Coturnix japonica: one gene and its partners. The main gene of each other region encodes a partner of the protein of the gene in region 2 in a complex. Links are inferred from orthologs where the notes say so. Each region holds a gene or a part of one and is shown on either strand. Other genes may lie near its edges.

Region 1 (3,460 bases), on a different chromosome or scaffold from region 2:
TAGAGAGAGGTTCTTGCTGCTGCGTGTTAGTTCACCTTCCCTGAGCGTTCATGGGAGTTATTGGGCCCAAAGGAAGTTGCATTCCCCAATGGTCAGCATCTCTGCTGCATCAAGTCACCTCAGCTCTGCTCTGGGCAGCAGGGGAATAGATAGTAAGCCATGTGAGATCAGCCTATAAATTGGGTTCAGCACTTGGGAGTAAGAGACGTTTGGCTTTGTTGTGATACTGCAGGTACTACAGGCTTCTTTCTCATAGGCATGTGATCTGTAACTGTAGATGCCTGGGCTGCAAGCTGTGCTTCTCCTGCTCTGCCCCTCTGTTTTAAGTCTAATACATCTATCTCTGATGAAGTACCTTCACCTGCCTGCAAAGGTGCTGCTTTGCTGGCTAGCAGTCATTTCCTCCTGGGCAGTAGCACTGATGACTGACCTGAGGAGTCCAAACCCTGCCCCTGTTCAAAGGGAGCGATCTCTTACAGAGAAACTGGGATCGTGGTTGAATATGCCGTTAGGATCTCCCAGGCCAGCATGCCTGCACGTTGGAGCTCAGAGACAAAGCACAGACATACAGACACTGCAGAGGAAAGCAAAGCCTGAGCTGCTCTACTCCCACGCTGGGAATGGTGCCCTGGGTTCAGGCACTTAATCAGTCATGGCAGGGCTGCCTAGTGGCAATTCTTGGACTGCTAGCAAGACTTCCTCCTTGTCTGGAGGCAGGCTCTCTGTTATCTGATCTGACAGTCCCAGGTGAGATCATCACTGAGACAAAAGGTCTTTCAGCCCTTGGATCTGGGACACTTAGCACAGCACCAGACTGAAGTAACGTGTGGATGTCGTCATCTCTGAGCACTTGGCCTTGTCTGTGTCCTCCAGCTGCATCCAGGCTGCTACAAGAGACATGAGCGTGTGACTGTGGGTGGGAAAGTGCTGCTAAGCCTCATGTTTAAAATCGCCAGAGCTGCTTAATCCCAATACGTGTCTCAATATTGGGCACAGCAAACAGGCATTCAGAGCAGCATGCCCTATAGCCTGTAGCACCAGAGCACCCTGAAGGGCCCGTTCATAGCTTCAGGAAGCAATAACAGTTTATGTGGCCTCTTTCCTTTCAGTGCTGTTCCCCCGTCACACCAATGCTGCTGCCAGAGACAACACCATAAACCTGATCCACACATTCCGAGACTACCTGCACTATCACATCAAGTGCTCAAAGGTACCACCATGGGGATATGGCTGGGGAAAATGGGAGGCTTGGCCCATCTCATCTGGGGGGACTAAGAGGGAGAAGCATGGAGTAGGAGTACCCTCGTTCCCCCACCCTGGGAGCTGATTAGTGCATAGCACTGCCCTGCACAATAGTGCTAGGTTGGCAAATGGTGCGTCATCGCCTTCTTCCTGTTCCTTGGTACAAGCAGTGCCTGTTCGCCTCCCATCCTAGCAGCAAAGTAGGATTTTTTTTTCCCCCTTTTCAATCTGTGGTTTCCTTTCTGGGTCTTAGCTGTGAGTACGGGATCCTGAAGCGGCCCCGTTTTGTTCCTGCAGGCCTATATTCACACACGTATGAGGGCAAAAACATCAGATTTCCTCAAGGTGCTGAACCGTGCCCGTCCAGATGCAGAGAAGAAAGAAATGAAAACAATCACGTGAGTAGCAAAGCAAAACCTTGTTAATCAGGCTTCCCTGCCTGCAATCAGCGCACTTCTTCACAGCTCAGCATCTCTGCTCCTAGGTTTGGGATAGTATGGGATGGCCATTTTGGGACCTGATGTCCGGTACTTGCAGAGCATCTTCCTGCTGTGAGCGTGGCCTGGCTTTCCCCAGATCCTGTGGCCAATAGCTCACTCAGGCTGTGAGCATTCCTGGCAACTGACTCCCTTTGGCAAATAAAGCAGCCCAGAGCAATGCACACCAATGACGGTGGTTGTGTAGCATGTTTCCATCATGACACTGGCCTCTTGATCCCAGAGCTCCTTTGCATCCTGCTATTTCCTCTTTGCTTTCTGCTCTGGGGTGTTGGGGTTGTACCCTCTGTGAAAACCAGCCCCTCCCCATAGCAGTGTGGTCCAGTTGCTTGCTGCAAGCAATGCCTGTGAGCTCTGAACCAGCAGTACCAGTATATCTTTGAGAGCTCAATGCAAGCACGTGCCCACAAGTCACCTTGGGGCAACCCAAGGCAGCTCTGAAGGCCGCACTGACCTCTCTCTGCATCCTTTCAGGGGGAAGACATTCACGACCCGTTAACGCTGGGGGTCACTGAGGCTACTGTGGAGGACGAAGGTTGGGGCACTTGCTACCCGATAATCGTAGCTTTTAATGTTGCACCTCTGTGGGCTCATAAGGAATTCAAGCAATCGGGGTCTGTTTGTACGACAGTTTGGGAAGTAATCTGCAGAAACGAGCTGTGCTTGCGAGGACTCGATCGTTCCAAGAAACAAACCTTAATTCCAGTTTGATTGACTTCATTTCTTTTCTTTTTCTTTTTTTTTTTTTAATTTTGGTTTTTTTTTCTTTTCGAGCTGTTTCGCTTTGCAATATGTTACCGGAAATAAGTTGCAGTATTTCTTATGAGAATAATGCAATATTAACTTGTTTTCTTCTGAGTATTTGAGTTCAAAACTCCTGTATCTGAAGAAATACTGTTGGGGTTCATTAATAAAGGAGATCTTTCTATCTTAAGGAACCTGTAGGGTTTTGGTTTGTCAATGCACATGGCCTTGCCAAGGAAAGGGGCTGACTGGAGTCAGCCAGGCTGAGAGGCAGCGTTGTGGTGTAGGAAGAACAGCCCCTATAGCTAATGCCTAAAATCCCTTGGTGGGACAGAGCACATCTCATAAGGTCACCCTTCCCCCAGCAAACAGAGTGGATGGGATCCAGGTTAAGTGAAATAATTTATATATAAGACATTTTCATACAAAACCCCAGACTCGGCCCTCAGTTTGTGAGGGCGAAGTAGGGCAGGCTGAAAAATTACAAAGCACGTGCTGGAGAAGGGGGGTGAAACCCATCTCCCCTGTCCCGCTGTACATGAGCAGCATGGCAGAGCCAGGCCGCCATCCCTCAGCACTGCCGCTAGCGGTCAGGGCGCTGCACGCAGAACACTTTGGCTTGGTGGTCTCCGGAGGTCGTCACCACAATGGAGGCATCCCTGGAGGAGAGAGATAGGGCTCAGCAGCCAAACTGGTGGCCTTGGACAGCTCTAGCTGTGAACACCCGTACTCCATCCCCTGAGACCCTTCAATGTGAGCATCCGTGTTTGCAGATGATACACTCCAAGGCTCAGGCGTTTCCTGCACCCAGCAGCCTCAGGGAAGGGTTGGTCCGGGGGGTCCCTACTCACTTGTTGACAGCAAAGTCGAGGATTTCAGCAGAGTGCCCTCGATACTCGCTGATCATCTTCCCTGAGCGGGCATCCCAGAGCCGCACAGCCCCATCCAGGCTGCAGGTATACACCACAGCGGAGTTC
Region 2 (4,002 bases):
CTTTGACCAGTCCTTGGTACTGCCTGTGCTAAAGCAGCTGCCACAAATTGCAAATACTTTTCCTCTGATGCAATTCACACCATAGGTAGACTTGCCTTAGTAGTGCTGATAGTTACCTTTATGGCTTTTGATAATTTACATGTAGGTTTAATTGGAGGAGAAAGAATCTCAGCAGTCATGAAAATGACCATAGTATAATTTCAGACAGCATTTGCATGTGTGCACTTTGTACTTCAGGTTACTTCCCAGCTGTTTTAATTCTCCTATCTTCCTACATCCATACCTTGCTATTGTGAAGAACTTTAGTTCCAAGATATCTGAACAATTAAGTCTCCTTATAGACAAATACTTTGACATTATTGCTTTGAATTCTTGAGTATTTAAGGCAGAACACTTAAAACAACCTAAACGTAGCATTAGCCAGAGCTGGCTGTAGTCAATCCTTTTCTGCAGAGTCTCATCTAGTTCAGATGAGCACATTGCTAGGGGTGAAATTCCAGTGTTACAGAACAGTTATGCACAGAACCCTACTAGAAAGGGACAGATTTTGTTTGCAACATAAGGTGCACAAACGCAACATGCCAGCAACTTGTTGCGGTAGCTTTAAATAGGGACATTTAAGCTAAAATCCCAAGGATGTGAACTTGGCCCTAACTACACTAACCTGGATATTTTTCAGCCGCGCGTGCATCTATTTGCAGCTTATTTCTACTGCGTACTTTAAATAACTGGAGAATTTCATTTAGGCTTTTTCTGACTTTCTTGCTTCTACCTTTTCTTCACCTTTTTTGACCGGTTGAAGTAGAATAACAAAAAAATGGTAAGTGAGGGTGCCTCGTGCTGCTTGTTTAGTGTTGATGCTTGGTGGGACCTAGAGCTCTTCTGCTGTTTTTTGCTATTCCTTGTTCTGTCTTGCCTTACATTTTGCCTTTGAATCCATACTTACTTTGGATGTGTTTCATTGCTTTGGTTTACTAGCAACTAATTGATGAGACTATTTTACGTATTGTGTTGAAGTATGACATAACCTGTGGTTTTGCAAGGTGCAAGAATAGCACTTGAAGACCAATGTGAGCTCAGTATCTCCAGCAGCGGAAATTACTTTACATAACGTTACAGACCAAGGGCATGAAAAAAGTTTCAATTTCCAGTTAGGCAAATATTGAGTCCCAGAGTGATGGGAACGTTGGATGTCACGACAGTGATGCTGTATGGGCTGCCTTCCTTATGAGTGTTGTTTGTTTGTGTGCCCTGGAGAACAATGAGTGCTTCTGCCCTTCAGCTTTGTTTTGTTAACAGGACGCAGAAGTTTGGTGTGACTTGATTGTGTGTTTCAGTACTGGCTTTTCCTGGGCTGCATCCTGTCCAGGAGCACAAAGCCTCCAAAGGCAGCACACAATAATACACTGCTGAGGGTTTCTGATGGCATAACCTGATGTGGAGGAGTTGTGTTATGCTTCCACTGAACTACCTTTGGTTTTAAAAAGGTAGAGCCTTGACTTCTGTCTTCTGTACAGTCTGGGTAGTGGAGGTGTGATCTATTGCACAAGGGAAAGCAAATGGAGCACTTTGTCAGGGAGGAGGAACAGATTATATGACACTGTTTTCAATAAGCTTCCTTTTTATTTTTATTGGTTGCTGGCAGCTCTTTAGGTTGCTTCTGAAATGGGCTTTGATGGACTTGATGCTGCATTTCTGTCCGTTGTTTTTTTTTTTACCCCTTGCATTGAATTGTAGGTTGAATAACCTTCTCTATAAAAGTTTTCTGCACCGTGGTAACTGCTGGCATGTTTTTGTGTGGAGCAGACAATTTTCTGCAGCGAAATGAAGGCAGCAGTAGAGTGAAAGCAGCGCTCTAGAAACATGTTCTTAGAGGCCAGGTGTGAGCAGATCAGTTAAGGCTTCCATAGGAAAATGTAAGATACAACAGGGAACAAACACAGTGTCATATTGTGCATACTTCCTCTGGGAAGTACGTGGGAAAGGAGAAGATACAGTGCTACTAATTTGAATGTGCAATGTTTGCATAACTAACTTTAAGAAACAGATTGCTTAATTAATGGGAAATGGTTGTACAAATTGCATTCGTTGGTTGTGTTTGTGTAAGAATGCATTGCCGTGGTTTTTGTCTTGGGACTTTCAGCATGGAACAGACCAGGGTATGTTTTACATTTAGATGTCTCTTCTCTTCACACCCTACTGGCATAGGCAATGTGTAAACCACAGGTACTTTTAAGGTATAGTGTGGAACTCATAAGCACTTATTTGCTGTTGCTACTGTTCTGTTTGCTAATGGACCACTCTATATTCCTTTCCTGGCATCGTGCAGCGTGCAGGGAAAATATTCTGCAGTCCACCTACCATCTTTACATGCTGTTCTGTATCTCAGCCTTCTGAAATCTGATGACAGAACTTCGGAGGTGTCAGTGGAGAAACATCTACCCTTACAAAAGCATCGTTTTGGGGAAGGTTTGGGATAGATAACAGTCCAATTTCAATATTACACGGGGTATATTCTACTTGTCTCCTAAGCTCCTAAAAACAATTCTGAAATGTGGGCATTGTTTGAAAGCACAGATAGATGTGGGTTAGCACAGCTTGCTGTCGTTGTTTGAGGATTTTGTTCTCTAGAGGACTTTGCAACAACTAACATACTTCTATGTTAACATTTTACAGGATCTCATGGTTGGAGACGAAGCAAGTGAATTACGTTCAATGCTGGAGGTTAATTATCCAATGGAGAATGGCATCGTTCGGAACTGGGATGATATGAAGCACCTCTGGGATTACACATTTGGACCAGAGAAACTTAACATTGACACAAAAAATTGTAAAATACTGCTTACAGAACCTCCCATGAACCCAACTAAAAACAGAGAGAAGATCGTGGAGGTACGTCCCTCTAGTAGGAGTTAAGATGTGCTGTTGTTCAAGTATGGATAAAAAGCTTGGATTTTCTTGGAATACCCAGAAGCTGCCTGAGGGAAGGCAGTTCTCCTGTCTTCTGAGCCAAATGTGCCATCAGCCATGGTTATAAAGGTTGCTGTGGTCAAATTCAAACAGTCCCTCTTATCCAAACGTTAGAAGCAGACTGGGTGTCTCAAGCCATTTCACCAACAAAACGGGGTTAGAAATGCACATTTTTCTTCAGGTATCTAAGATACTTTGATTACTAGATATTGGGTGATTGTTAATTAATTTAAATGACTTGAACTTCTGCAAGGCAGTAACATTTTGGAAGAGGCTGATGCTTGGACAAGCTGATGCTGACCAGATGGAGCAGCGTTGTTGGAAGTAGCTGAGACAAAGGTGTGATGACAACCAATTCATTGATCTTTGCTTAACACCCCCAGGGATTGTCAGTGAAAGCCTTCTTAGAAGGAAAGCTGGGTTCTTGGATCCTGTGCTGTCCAGGACAACCTAAGCTACCTCTGAATTCAGTTGGTTGGAGGAATAAGAACTTAATTTTATCTTGACCTACTAACTTTCCTTTAAAAACCATTAGTTGTCACAGCTATAGTAATACTTTCTGCTATGTGACCGTGGGTGTTTTTGCAGTAGTCTTTTATTTCAGTGTCCTGCTAAATAAATCTGAGGCAGAAAAACTCAAGGATTAATCAAACTGTACAATTTTGTTGTGTTTTTAAATTGAAAGTTTTCTAGCATGTATAGACATTAGTGGCCCGTTATCTAAGCGCTGTGTAACTGGACATTAGCAATGCTGTCTGCTGTGTATCAGGCAGCTGTGGTGTGATGAACGTAGTGGCCTATTCTGGGTTGCTTCCATATAGTAGGAATGGCTGAGTTTCCTGCTGAGGCTGCATTGCTTTCCAGCTGTCTACAATGGTGCACTCGTTTCTGTTTTCCTGCTAAGTGCACCAGGCTGGGTTTTAGTTATTCTGGTGCTGAGTAATTTTATCCTATAAATTGAGAAGCCTCCTATAGCTTCTGAAGTATGAGAAAACATTTGTGTTGCCCCATGTGCTTTTTAAAACCACTCCA
Region 3 (3,989 bases), on a different chromosome or scaffold from region 2:
TGTTTTCCTGGCAAGCAGAGCACATGGGAAAGGTTCACCTCGCCCTGGCAGCACCTCGCAGGGCCACTGCACAGACCTGAGCTCCCTCACCTCCACCAGGGCCTGCAGGAGACGCTGTGTCAGGGGTCCAAAGGGACATCCATCCTCAGGCTGCTCGTGCTGGGCCTCTGACTTCTTCAGCAAGGCGTCGACATCTGAGGGGATGCAGGAGACAGTTGTGAGCAGCCCCGGTTCTGTGGGAGCTGGATGCCAGCCCCCTGGTCTCACCACACAGCTTCAGTGCAGTCCATCACAGATAGGGGATGGGACAGCACCTTTGGTGTCCAGCTCGGTCAGTGGTCCCAGAACACCCTTCTTTTTGTCAGCCGCAGCCGCTGCCCGGGCTCCATCCTTCTGCTCCTCCAGCAGGTCCTCCTGAGCCCAGCGCTGTGAGTAGTGCTTCCCCAGCGGTGGGATCTGCAGCACAGGATGGGCCATCAGCACAGGGCTGGGGTTGTGCTGAGGAGCCCGTGGGTCAGCACCACCCCAGAGGACACGCACAATGTTCACAGTGGGGTGTGAGTTCTTAGCCTGCCCAGGGATGGACAGTGCAGGGCAGAGTATGGGGTGAGAGAGCATGGGCTGGGGGCTCTGCAGCTTGTCACCTTGTAGTGCTCAGCCTCGTCCTCTGGCGGTTTGAGCAGCTCCTCCAGGACCCTGACCTCCTCATTGGTGAGATCGGCGCAGTACGGCTCCACTGATGCCCAGAACCTGCGAGGCCAGAGCAGAGGAATGATGGTGATGGGGAGCTGTGATGGACACTTTGAGAGCAGCTCGTGATCTCCTGCACTACAAGGAAGGAAACATCCAACCCCAACACCCCCATCTCCCCATTCACCTGTTCGGAGCATCGTTTTTAGGGATCCTCGGCACATCGATGGGGTCATCCTGGAACTCGTACTCCTGGATCTTGGGCTGCAGGTTTTTAGACTTAGGCCTGCCGGGCCCAGGCCCCGTCCCGTGCCCCCCTTTACCCTCCAGCTTCTGCTTCTTGGGCTTGCCGTGTTTGACGGAGGTGCCCACGTCGTGTTCCTTGCTCAGCTTCAGGAAGCGCCGGTCGCCCTTTTTGTCCTGCCAGTCCGTCAGGATCTGGAATAGAGGAATAACGTGTAGGGTCGTGTGTGGGGCGGTGATGGGGTGGGGGGTCACAACACGGACACGTTACACGTTACACGTTCCATGTTCCACATCCCACACCTGTGTCTCTGCCTCCAGTACCCGCAGTCTGCGGCTGGCTGAGGACAGCAGCGTCTCCAGCTCGAGCTGCAGCGTGTCCAGCTCCTCGATCCCGATACCATCGTCCTCGGACCGGGCCAGCACGGCCGTGTACCGCGGGCACACCTTCACGTGGTCCACAGACTTGAAGTCGTGGAACTGCAGCGGGCAGTCCTTCAGCTCGCTCATGGCGGCACCGGGTCGGAACCGGGCGGCGATAGAAGCCTGTTGTCCGGTCTCTCGGTGCCGCCCGGAGCTCGGCGGGTCCCGGCGGGGGGCGGGCAGGGGGCAGGGCCGGGGGGGGCCGGGTTTACATTGGGCCGCTCGGCTACTTCCGGCCCCCGCCGCTTCGCCCCGCCCCTCTCTCCCCATTGGCTCGGCCCCGCCCGGTGCACGCAGCCGATTGGTTCGCTCGTCTCTCCTTCTTCCTTTCCTAATATGGAAGCGCCGTACGGAGCGTACCAAGAGCGGCGGGATCGCGGGGGGGGTCGAATCTCGCGGGGTTTCGCCGCCGCCTCCAGGCGCTGCAGCCGCGCCCCGTGACCGGCCGGATATACACACAGATACACATATATACACATATATACATATACACGGTGTGGGGGGACGGGACGGAACGGGGAACGGAACGGGAACGGAGAGAGAACAGAGCGCCCCCACACAGCTGCGGGTTGGGCCCTCCCGAGCATCCAGGAAGAGACAGCCGGCCACTTCCGGTTCCGCTTCCACGGACCGGACCGGAGCCGACACCATGGTGGGAGCGGGAGGGAACGGGGCGGGAGAACGGGGCGGGGGATGGGGGTGGATGTGGGTACGGGGATAGGGGGGGACGGGGCTGGGGTGGGCCCGGTCCCGGTCCGTGACTGTGCCGTGCCCCTCAGACCGCCACGCTCCGCCCGTACCTGAACGCGGTGCGCGCCACGCTGCAGGCCGCGCTGTGCCTCGAGAACTTCTCGTCGCAGGTGGTGGAACGGCACAACAAGCCCGAGGTGGAGGTCAGGTACGGGGCTGTAATGTGTGTCAATGGGGATGGACACGGACACTGCCCGCACTGTGTGTCAATGGGGATAGACACACGGACACACGGACACTGCCCGCACTGTGCCTGCAGGCACCGAGCGGTTCCATGCTGACCTTCCTTTGCTCCCCCAGGAGCAGCAAGGAGCTGCTGCTGCAGCCCGTGATCATCAGCAGGAACGAGAAGGAGAAGGTGCTGATCGAGGGCTCCATCAACTCCGTGCGCGTCAGCATCGCTGTCAAACAGGTGGGGATGGGCTGGATGGGGGCTGGGAGCTTGTGAGAGTGTGAGGAACCTCGTTTCCCTTTTGTGTCTGCAGGCCGATGAGATCGAGAAGATCCTGTGCCATAAGTTCATGCGCTTCATGATGATGAGGGCTGAGAACTTCTTCATCCTACGCAGGAAGCCCGTAGAGGTGAGGGAGTCCCAGGGACCCACAGCGCAGATCTGGACTGCACCATCACTGTGCTGCACTCCCACTGTGCTGCACACCCATAGCTCTTACACTGCTCCTCTCTTCCTCAGGGCTACGACATCAGCTTCCTCATCACCAACTTCCACACGGAGCAGATGTACAAGCACAAGCTCGTGGATTTCGTGATCCATTTCATGGAGGAGATCGACAAGGAGATCAGCGAGATGAAGCTGTCTGTCAATGCCAGGGCCCGCATTGTGGCAGAGGAATTCCTCAAGAACGTAAGGCTCCGGGGATGCTCCTGCTCCCAGCAGTGGGGCACAGCTCTCATAGGCACAACCCACTGCTGGGGGCTGCTTTGGTGCAGTTTGTGCCCATCCTGGGTTGGCTGTAATTGGTGCTCATGTTTCCACTGGGGTTGAGGTCCTCTAAGTGGGCTGAGGGTGGGCACAGCTGGGGGATGTAGGACATCCCAGTGCTGATGGGCTCCTCCCCTCTGTCTTGCCTTGCAGTTCTAGGCTGTGCCGTGACTCCGTGGCTTCCCGGTGCCTGTGCAGAGCCGCATGCCGGGGTTCTCGTGCTATGGAGGAGGGAAGCTGAGCCCCTGGCTGCGATCCCGTCTCCTCGCTGGCCGGGGCGGGGGCGGACCGGGCTTGTGCGTGTGTGGGGCTGGGCGGCCCCGCTCCCTGTCCTGTCGCATTGTGTTTTATAAAGAGTTACTTGCTGTACGCCCCGGCTCCTCGCTGCGTTGCTGTGGGGGGAGGAAAGGGGGAGAGAATGGAGGGAATGCTCGGGGGCGGGGCTATGGGGCAGGGGGGGGCGGGGCCCGGAGCAGCACCATGACAACAGTAAACAGCGGGGGCAGCCCCGCCGGTACTGGAAGGAGTGGGAGTGGCTCGGGTGGGTGCGGGGGAGGATGGGGTTACAGAGCGGCCTGGGGGAAGGGTTTGGGGTGACAGATGATGGGGAACCAGCTGGTGTGGAGCCATAGGAGAGGGGGCAGGGCTTAGGGCTGCTGGAACCCCCCCGCATCTCCCATTGGGTGAGGATGCAGCTCAATGGGATCCCCTGTACTGCATGGAGTGGGGCTGAGCTGCTAGCAGCCTCCCTCACCCCCAGGCTGCCCCACACCTCACCCACTCGAGAGCAGGGCCGTGGGCACAGCCCAGTGAGGGGAGTTCCTGGTGGGCACGCTGTGAGGCTGCGGTGCCAACATGAGCATTGAGAAGGAGGCAAATGCTGCAGGAGGGGCACCCAGCAAGGTGCAGCGTGTGTGGGCAGGTGGGTGCCTGCTCCCTGCCC
Region 4 (4,604 bases), on a different chromosome or scaffold from region 2:
CCACAATAGAAATCATAATATAATCATGTTATTTCAATGTTAAAGGTTGGAAAAGATGATTGTATGCCACTAAGATCTTCTTAAAAATTCAGTTTCCTACTCTCAGGATATGCAAAATAACCACACCTGGATTTTGATGTATACATATGGGAGAGCTTTAGAAACAAACTGCTGTTCAGGAAGTTTTGCTACTTGTTTTATAGAACTGCACTGGACATTGTTGTGCTTATTAAAATAAAGCATTGCAGAACTGACAGCATCCAACAGTCACTAGAGAAAAGTCAGGTATTACGTTTTCTGTTTTCTTGTTGCAGGAATATGAAGAAGATAAATCTGCACTCGTGGATGAGTATTTTCAAGATCACGTGAATGAGTAAAAAGCAGATGCTGGAAAAGAGGAAGAAAATGCATCGCTTGTGTGTTTTAAAGAAAGCAAAAACCATCCACCTCCACACAAACATATTTATGTGATGTTTTGCCTTTAAGATAACTAACATCGCTAGTGAGAAGTGAGCTATATGACGGTGTATACGACAGAATATAGTGAGCTGTATTACTGTTAATAGTTCTTTTGTAAATACAGAATGTTCCTGGACTCTCGAACGTTCTCAAAATATCTTTTATTATTATTTCTCCTAAAATATATTAATCCAATTTATTAGCTAATTTCAGCTGAATTGGAGGATGCTTTTCTTCTAGTCATATCCAAGTATTTATAAACCTTTCCTTGATCCTAAGGAACGAGTTTTATTAATGATTATTGAATAAAAGTGTTTTCTAAAAAGGGCCTTGTGGTGACGTAAAGCTTAATATCAGTAAATGCTCATATATAGGCGTGTCATCTTTTTCTATGTATTATATAGTTCCCAGGATTTGAGCCTATGTGTAGAAGAGCAGCACTTCTACCACTTGCGCCACAGGGGGGATTCAAACCCAGTAGAATAAGAGCATCTAATGTCATTTTGTTGGAGCGGCTTGGTAAACCAAACCAATGATTGAATACTTTGAGGCAGTGGCAGTTATCTAAACCTGAGGATATGACACAGCTACTCCCAGCCCTGGACAGTTAGGTGAGAGTTCAGGGTAGTCATTGCCATAACCAGAAAGAGGTTAGAATTAGAGAACACAGCTTTTGGGGACGCAGCTTTTTAAGGACTCCTTGCAGCCGCCTTTTCCTCCAGGCTGAACAGCCCATCTCCCTCAGCCCATCCTCACAGCAGAGGTGCCCTTTGCTCACGGAAAGGAGAAACCCAGCCCTTCAGCTTCAAATCTCCCCATTTTTTCGGCCTGACTCAAGTGACGAGGAGGTGGAGGGGGGGCAAAAGGGGGGCAAATGGGGCACTCTGCCTCACAAGGACAACAGTTCCCTCAGACCCAGCGCGTAATGGGGGGGGGTCAGTTCTGTGCTTCCCCATCAGGGAGCGGCTCCTCGGGGCGGTACGGGCTGTGGCTTCCCCCTGTCGCACCGCCCCGCTGCCTCATTTCCTGAAGGAAGAGGAAGATTTGCTACGAGCTCAGCGCCGCTGCCGTCGCACCGAGCTGCGCCCTGCCCTTCGCCATGCCGGTGAGCGGAGCGGGGCAGGGGGAGGGAAGGGGCAGGGCGGGCGCTGAGCGCCAGGGACGGACTGGGGGCGGATGAAAGGGGGGCTGTAGCCGGGAGCCTCGCACTGATGAGCGGATCGGTGTGGAGGGACCTGCCGCCTTCCTCTTTTCTTCCCCTTTTTTTTTTATCCCGTTCTGACCTCACAGAGTCAGCCCCCCCCCCCCCCCCGTGGCACCCAGCCGGGCGGCAGGAGTGCATCTGGGGGAACCGCACCACAAGGCCACACCAGAAAGTAGCACATCCCAGTGCTTCTTATTCACTTACATCAGTTTTAATGCACAGAAAGGCCTTTTGTGTGTGTATGTGATAAGCCTGGTTTTGGTTATTATTTAGATACTGACAGGCTGCTCTCAGCTCTCCCCACAGCCCTCTCCAGGCTGCACAGCCCCATCTCTCTCAGCCTGTGCTCTTCCACCACCACTGACAAATGGTTCCAATAAATGCTTTTGTGCTCATCGCTGGAATGGTGCTGAGTTGCAGAAGGCCTAAGTAAGAAATGACCATTGTTTGTGCAAGGAAAGGTTCCTGGAAGCACCACAGAATCACAGAATTATCAAGGTTGGAAAAGACCTAGAAGATCATCCAGTCCAACCATCACCAATACTTCCCAGTTAAATCATATCCCTAACAAACCAAACTCTGTTTTAACAGGATAAAGGAAGGGCAATATTCTGCAGGAATAATAAGCAGTCTTCCCTTGTCTCTAGGCTTACCATTCAACTTTAATGGACTCGGATACCAAGCTAGTGGGGAACATGGCACTGTTACCCATCAGAAGCCAGTTCAAAGGCCCAGCACCTCGAGAAAGTAAGTTTATAAGAATATAAGTGGTGCCAACTAGAAAAAATGATGATCCCATGGCTGTTATCTGGCACGGCTCTGGGTAATTCAGCTGCTTTAGCAATTAACACTGCCTACAGATAGTATTTTCACACTTCCTCCTGTGCCTCTTTTCAGCAGGCTGTGAGGATGTGGTGCTATTAACCCTTTGCTGTCAGAGGAAGTGGAGGTTTAGCTGCAGAACTCAGCTTTGGTGCAATAGCTGAGGATGCTTAACTGTGGCAATTCGGTTTGAAAAAGGAAATATTTCAGAATTCAAGCATGTTTGTAAAAGAAAGTGAAAGCTGCAGGTCAACCTGCCACTATGTAATCTACCCTTCCTCTTCTTTTTTTCAGGAGAATAATGAGGAAGGTTGTTTGATTGTGGTGTTAATTTCTCCCAAATATATTTTTGGGCCCTCAGAAAGAGTTTTAACAGTATATTCTATATACTGTTGCATATATATTATATTCTATACTGTTATACATATTAATATACATATATTAATATGTTCTATACTGTTAAAACTCTGGTGAGTCACTCAACTGGTAGGATATACCAAAGAACTGCCAACCTGCTGCCCTTTGTGAAGTCATGGGAAAAGAAGGGAGTTAAAAGTCCTACTAAGAGTAAGAAACTTAAATGGTTTGGTCAGAGATCACCAGTCTTTCACACGGGTAAAATTTACCATAGTCCTCTGCTTCTTGTAAATGATTTTGCTTTTGCAAGAAACACTGTTTGTGTACTTCAACATGTAAAAGTTATGACCAAATGTGTAGCAATGCACTGCTTAATTTTGGTTTTCTTTCATTTTCTTTCTTTTGCTTTAGCTAAAGATACAGATATTATAGATGAAGCCATCTACTACTTCAAAGCCAACGTTTTCTTCAAAAATTATGAAATTAAGGTATTTTTTTTCTGCAATAATTCCTTTCCTATGAGGAAATTGCTGGCACAAATGCCATGAACTCGTTCCTATTTCAAACTGTTAGCAGTTCCATGAAGTCCCTTGTAGTCTAACAGACCGGGCTCTGTGCTTACTCTTGTTTTGCAGAACGAGGCTGACAGAACACTGATCTACGTAACTCTCTACATTTCTGAGTGCTTGAAAAAGCTGCAAAAGGTAAGGAGGGAAACAGTCTGTTCTGGGGATTATACTCAGGAGAGTATTTGCTGGTATTCATCTCCTAAAGGCACAGCAGACTCTGTTCACTGCAACCCCAGTTTACAGAACCACAAAACAAATACTTGAGGCTGTGGTTTTGCAGGGACACTGCACTGCTGTTCTTGATAAGTCTTAATGGTTTAGGGATTGTAATCAATTGTTTGGTTGGTTCTTTCAGTGCAACTCTAAAGGCCAAGGAGAGAAAGAGATGTACACGCTAGGAATCACTAATTTCCCAATCCCTGGGGAACCTGGCTTTCCACTTAATGCCATTTATGCCAAACCTACCAACAAGCAAGAGGAAGGTAAGACTTAACAAAGACCCCTAAAGACTTGCTTTGGTCCAAGCTTTACCAGCTGTGTTTTTGCAGTTACAACTAGAAAACTTCTAGCTCTGTTTTCTGAGGTCTTCTGATCTTATAACTGCTAGATAGATTCTGTAACAGAGCTCAAGCTAACTCCTACACTGGCAGAGAGGAAACCCATAATGATGGGCAAAGGCTTAGCTGAAAGAAGAAAACAATTGAGATATGTTTTACTCATACAAATATAACAAATCCAAGTATGGCTGTAAAATGAACAGCCAGCAAGGGCCTACAGATGTGAGAGCTCACATTTCTTGCTGTAGGCAGTGATGTCCGCTGCCTTCACACTCAGTTTAGTTTGCCTTAATGCTACTTTGTCCTTGTGCTGTATTTCAGAGGTGATGAGAGCATACTTGCAGCAGCTCAGGCAAGAAACTGGCCTTCGACTTTGTGAAAAAGTATTTGATCCTCAGAGTGACAAGCCCAGTAAGGTAAGGATTTGGCCTAATGATCACAGATTCAATGAGAGGCTTGGTTGCTTTCTCCAAAAGATGGAGATGCATGAATTACATCCTGGTCTTGTATTTCATGTGCAAATATATTTGCATTTCATCATGAAAATTATTCAAGCTAATTTAGTTCCAAAGGCATAGCTTTCTGATGTTCATTATTACACTGCAATAAATATATTGGAATTGGTATTAAACCTAC
Region 5 (3,634 bases), on a different chromosome or scaffold from region 2:
CACAGTGTGGTCTTGCAGTGGTTTCTTGTGTCTGCTGCTTCTCTCTGCTGTTCACGATGTTGAGTTTGGCTCAGGGTTTGGGAGCCCTATCAGCAGCTGCAGCCCGAAGGCAAGAAGCTTTTCCTGCTCTTCTCTGATGGACGTCTTGCACCATCTGGTTAGTGGAGAGGAGGAAACAATTACCTTCAGGCTGCTGTTGGGCTCAGTCAGTGTGTTAGGCCATCCCTGGGCTGTGCCACAGCGTGGAGCTGGCAGAAGATGCTTTAATCTGGTACATTGTGGTTGTGGGGCACCAGCAGTTCTCAGCCTTATCGAGAATTGAGGTGGTGTCAGAGGATCAGGTGGAAACTTGGGGTGAGCCTTGGGAGCAAAGGGAGGTGGCTGGGGCCTACAGGAGGAGGGGAGGGAGAAAGGGGCTGGTTCAGGTGCACTGGGGTGGGTGACACATAGAGGTCTTTGCCCAGTAGAACACAGCTCCATTGTGGGAGGATGGACCAGAGCTCGGAATCATGGAGTGACTCAAACATCTCCATCCCAGTGCTGCCAGCAAGGATCCGTCCTGGGGCTGTGAGTGTAGGGGCTGCACTGCATGGAGGGGCTGCCAGGAGCCGTGTTAACCTGAGCACATGCAATTAAACCCTGCAGCATGCTGTAATCACATGTACTCACATTAAAATGCTTTAAAAGAAAAGAAGAAAAAAACATTGGATTTATATGGGAAAATCTTTATTATTGAATTCATAAAGCGATGTATGACCAGCATCGGTTAGGATGGTAACAAAAATAGTATTAAAAAAACAACCCAACCAACAACCACCTTTATCTCTGTGTTAGAGCAGCCCAGGGCTGGCTGGCAGCCGGGAGCGCGGGGCAGAGGGAGTGCAGCAGTGCAGCAGCAGAGCGGGGCAGCTGCGGCTGGGACCTCCTGGCTGCATCCTTCATTTGATTTTGAGATCCTTCAGTGCCGACTCCAGGCTCTGAAACAAGAAGTTGTTCAACAACTGCCTTATTTTTTTACTTCCTAAGGTGAGTGGAGCTGTGCAGACCCCAGACTGTAATCAATGGGGACATTGATTACACTGAGCTGGGGCTAAGGAGGGACTGATGTGGTTGGGGGGCTCGGGAGGGGCCTCACCTTGATGTCCCAGATGCTCATGCCACCGTCCATCCCCGTGGTGCAGAACTGCGAGCAGTTGGCTTTGCCCCCAACCAGCACAGAGATCTGACTGTGGAGCGCAGGGGAGGGAGGTCAGACTGCAGCCCCGGACCCTCCCCCCTCTCACGGATGCCCCATCAGCACCTGATGCTGTTCTTGTGCACTGTATCCAGCGCAGCGTTGGCTGTATCAGAGCTCGCCTTCTTATCCAGGTTCTGGAAGCGCTCGCGGGCAGTGAGGCCACGCTGGGAGCTCTGCTTGGGGACATCCAGCTTCCCTCCAAAGCTCAGCGTGCCCGAGCCCTCCTCGTAGGTGAACAGCATGGGGTAGCAGTCGTGGCCCTGGGGATGAAGTGGTGGTCCTGCTCAGAATCACCTCGTGCTCTGCCCGCCCTCAGCCCAGCCCAACTCACCGCGGCCACCAGGCTGCTCTCAGTGATGAAGGTGACGGCCAGGAGGGGAAGGGTTTCAGTGCATAGGGAGGCAACACTGAAAGGGAGGGAGAAAGTGTGAGCAGTGAGTTGAGACCATGCTGAGCACAGCACAGCTCATGACGTGGGAGTGGGGCTGTGATGCTGCAAGGAGAGGCTGTGCCTCCTCCTGCACCCGGCTCCACTCAGCCCTTCACCCCCACCCCAGCTCCATCCCAGCTCCACCCCTGCATCATTTTGGGGACCATCCAGCCCACAGAAAAGCAGCTGCCTTCCCCAGCGTGGGCAGCCACAAATCACTGCGTAGCCCATCCCATCCAAAAACTCCCCCAGATCCCCCTGCAGCCCCAGCCCTGCTTACGCCATCTTCTTGTTGGCATCAGCGAGGCACAGGGTGCTGTCGTGGCTCACCCAGGCCACTCGGTTGCCGCTGGCTGAGAAGCAGATGCTGTGCACCCACCCACAGCTGCTGCTCGACTCAAACATCAGCTCCCCAAACGGCATCTTGGAGCCCCAGGGCGTGGGGCTGGGCCGCTCCTCCACCTCCTTGATGTAGGCTGAGAAGATCCTGGGAAGGAGAAGATCGCCGTGGAACAAGCTCCATCCCTGCTCACCCCATAGAGCCCCCTGGGGTCCCCCCTTTTCCACTCACCGGCACTTGAAGTCGCAGGAGCCGGCAGCCAGCAGCACGTTGTTGGGATGCCAGTCCAGGCTGAGCACTGTGGAGCGGATGGGCTTCTTGATGTGTTTGCACACCCACCTGCAGGGAGAGCGGCGTTGGTGCCCCTAAAGCCCCCGGGTACAGTCCATGGCTCTCACACCACAGTCTGGGGGTGATTGGGGCCCCCAGGAACTGCCCTTGGCTCCCAGCCTGTGTCAGCAGCTGGGCCATGGGGACAGTGCTGTGTCCCCAGCTCTTAGGTCCTGCAGCACTTATGTCCACCTCTCCATCAGGCTCCTCCTCTGCCTCCTCCTCCGTCTCCTCAATGACTCCCCTATCTCACCTCTCATCCCTCTCCCCCACCTCCCCATCCACCCATCTCCCCTACACTCATTTCCCCACACATACACCCTCATTTCCCCACACATACGACCCCTTCCCCTCCATCCATCCCCACCCAATGCAGGATGGTGACCTCAATGCCACTCACCAGTCATTCTCCTGCTCAAAGTAGCAGATGGAGATGAGCCGGGAGCCGCTGCCCACAGCAAACTTGTTCTCCTTGGGGGACCACTTCACACAGCGGGCAGCCCGGTTGATCCTCAGGATGACCAAGGTGGGTTTCCAGACGTTGCCCTTCAGGGTCCAGACGTAGGCATTGCGGTCGGTCCCACATGTCACCAGCCGGTTGCTCTCAGGAGCCCAGTCAATGCCTGGAAGGTGGGGGGGGCAGTGATGTGGGGGGAGCCGTGTGGATGGGGACAGGGCATGAGGGGGCCATCTGGAGGTGGGGATGTGGCTGCTCTCTGCCCCTGAGTCCTTCTCTGCTATATTCCCCCAGTCAATTTAATCCCAACCCTTCTACAATGTTATCATCCCATCCCCGGGTGCCTCCTGACACACTGAATTGGGACCAGGAACACCAGACACAGCCCTTCCTCTCCTTCACAACCCCTGTCCCAAGGCCACCAGTGTCACTGAGTGGGGTTGGGACTGACCTCAGAGCTCGTCCATCCCCATGCACTCACCTGTCACCTGCCCGTTGTGCTCCTTCAGCTCGTGCACCTTGCTCCACTTGGCCCCGTCCTTGCGGTAGATGTGCACCTCGTGGTTATTGGGGCACAGCGCGATCTCTGTGGGGTGAAAGCAGTTCTGACGGCCCCACGCTCGCAGGGTCAGCCCAGGTTTGATGCATCCCTGTCACCAGCACAGCCCTTCCCGTGCCCAGAGCCCTGAAGGCACAGTAGGGTCCTGCCCCAGCACTGGGCTCTGGTGTCAAACTGTGCTGGGGGAAAAGGGAACACCTCCCCCAAACCCCACAGCTCAACTTCTGCTGTGCCCCAGTCCCAGGGCTCTGCTGGGAGGGATGGGCTGGGATGGCTGTGGG

The links.
Region 1: ACTR2 (region 2) and ARPC2 share a complex: the UniProt entries of both Homo sapiens proteins name them as parts of the arp2/3 complex. The link is inferred for Coturnix japonica from reciprocal best matches to the Homo sapiens genes ACTR2 and ARPC2.
Region 3: the proteins of ACTR2 (region 2) and ARPC4 are in contact, whole or in part, in a cryo-EM structure (PDB 6YW6), measured with the Homo sapiens proteins. The link is inferred for Coturnix japonica from reciprocal best matches to the Homo sapiens genes ACTR2 and ARPC4. Residues at the interface, in NP_005713.1 of Homo sapiens: Tyr222, Val223, Tyr225, Gln229, Glu230, Lys232, Leu233, Ala234, Leu235, Glu236, Thr237, Thr238, Val239, Lys253, Thr308, Met309, Tyr310, Pro311, Gly312, Pro314, Ser315, Asp346; in NP_005709.1 of Homo sapiens: Val29, Val30, Glu31, Arg32, His33, Lys35, Pro36, Glu39, Val40, Ala98, Glu99, Asn100, Phe102, Ile103, Leu104, Arg105, Arg106, Lys107, Leu117, Thr119.
Region 4: ACTR2 (region 2) and ARPC3 share a complex: the UniProt entries of both Homo sapiens proteins name them as parts of the arp2/3 complex. The link is inferred for Coturnix japonica from reciprocal best matches to the Homo sapiens genes ACTR2 and ARPC3.
Region 5: ACTR2 (region 2) and ARPC1B share a complex: the UniProt entries of both Homo sapiens proteins name them as parts of the arp2/3 complex. The link is inferred for Coturnix japonica from reciprocal best matches to the Homo sapiens genes ACTR2 and ARPC1B.

Annotation. Positions count from the first base shown.
Region 1 is NC_029522.1:24,178,977-24,182,436, forward strand, and holds the end of ARPC2 (actin-related protein 2/3 complex subunit 2), read left to right. Parts: intron 1-1,109; coding exon 1,110-1,210; intron 1,211-1,539; coding exon 1,540-1,640; intron 1,641-2,213; coding exon 2,214-2,238; 3' UTR 2,239-2,673; downstream 2,674-3,460. Other genes in the region: AAMP (angio-associated migratory cell protein), read right to left, coding at 3,067-3,142, 3,335-3,460. UniProt on the Homo sapiens protein: Actin-binding component of the Arp2/3 complex, a multiprotein complex that mediates actin polymerization upon stimulation by nucleation-promoting factor (NPF).
Region 2 is NC_029518.1:1,505,485-1,509,486, reverse strand, and holds part of ACTR2 (actin-related protein 2), read left to right. Parts: intron 1-2,676; coding exon 2,677-2,892; intron 2,893-4,002. UniProt on the Homo sapiens protein: ATP-binding component of the Arp2/3 complex, a multiprotein complex that mediates actin polymerization upon stimulation by nucleation-promoting factor (NPF).
Region 3 is NC_029527.1:9,003,368-9,007,356, forward strand, and holds ARPC4 (actin-related protein 2/3 complex subunit 4), read left to right. Parts: upstream 1-1,872; 5' UTR 1,873-2,005; coding exon 2,006-2,008; intron 2,009-2,135; coding exon 2,136-2,254; intron 2,255-2,406; coding exon 2,407-2,518; intron 2,519-2,591; coding exon 2,592-2,687; intron 2,688-2,797; coding exon 2,798-2,968; intron 2,969-3,199; coding exon 3,200-3,205; 3' UTR 3,206-3,415; downstream 3,416-3,989. Other genes in the region: TADA3 (transcriptional adapter 3), read right to left, coding at 1-7, 91-194, 315-456, 645-750, 878-1,128, 1,237-1,443; tubulin monoglycylase TTLL3, read left to right, coding at 3,902-3,968. UniProt on the Homo sapiens protein: Actin-binding component of the Arp2/3 complex, a multiprotein complex that mediates actin polymerization upon stimulation by nucleation-promoting factor (NPF).
Region 4 is NC_029530.1:4,513,138-4,517,741, forward strand, and holds the start of ARPC3 (actin-related protein 2/3 complex subunit 3), read left to right. Parts: upstream 1-1,429; 5' UTR 1,430-1,558; coding exon 1,559-1,564; intron 1,565-2,310; coding exon 2,311-2,410; intron 2,411-3,253; coding exon 3,254-3,330; intron 3,331-3,477; coding exon 3,478-3,546; intron 3,547-3,766; coding exon 3,767-3,893; intron 3,894-4,289; coding exon 4,290-4,384; intron 4,385-4,604. Other genes in the region: GPN3 (GPN-loop GTPase 3), read left to right, coding at 315-377. UniProt on the Homo sapiens protein: Component of the Arp2/3 complex, a multiprotein complex that mediates actin polymerization upon stimulation by nucleation-promoting factor (NPF).
Region 5 is NC_029529.1:4,413,426-4,417,059, reverse strand, and holds the end of ARPC1B (actin-related protein 2/3 complex subunit 1B), read right to left. Parts: intron 3,381-3,634; coding exon 3,276-3,380; intron 2,961-3,275; coding exon 2,738-2,960; intron 2,347-2,737; coding exon 2,239-2,346; intron 2,155-2,238; coding exon 1,948-2,154; intron 1,645-1,947; coding exon 1,569-1,644; intron 1,498-1,568; coding exon 1,301-1,497; intron 1,227-1,300; coding exon 1,136-1,226; intron 978-1,135; coding exon 939-977; 3' UTR 705-938; downstream 1-704. UniProt on the Homo sapiens protein: Component of the Arp2/3 complex, a multiprotein complex that mediates actin polymerization upon stimulation by nucleation-promoting factor (NPF).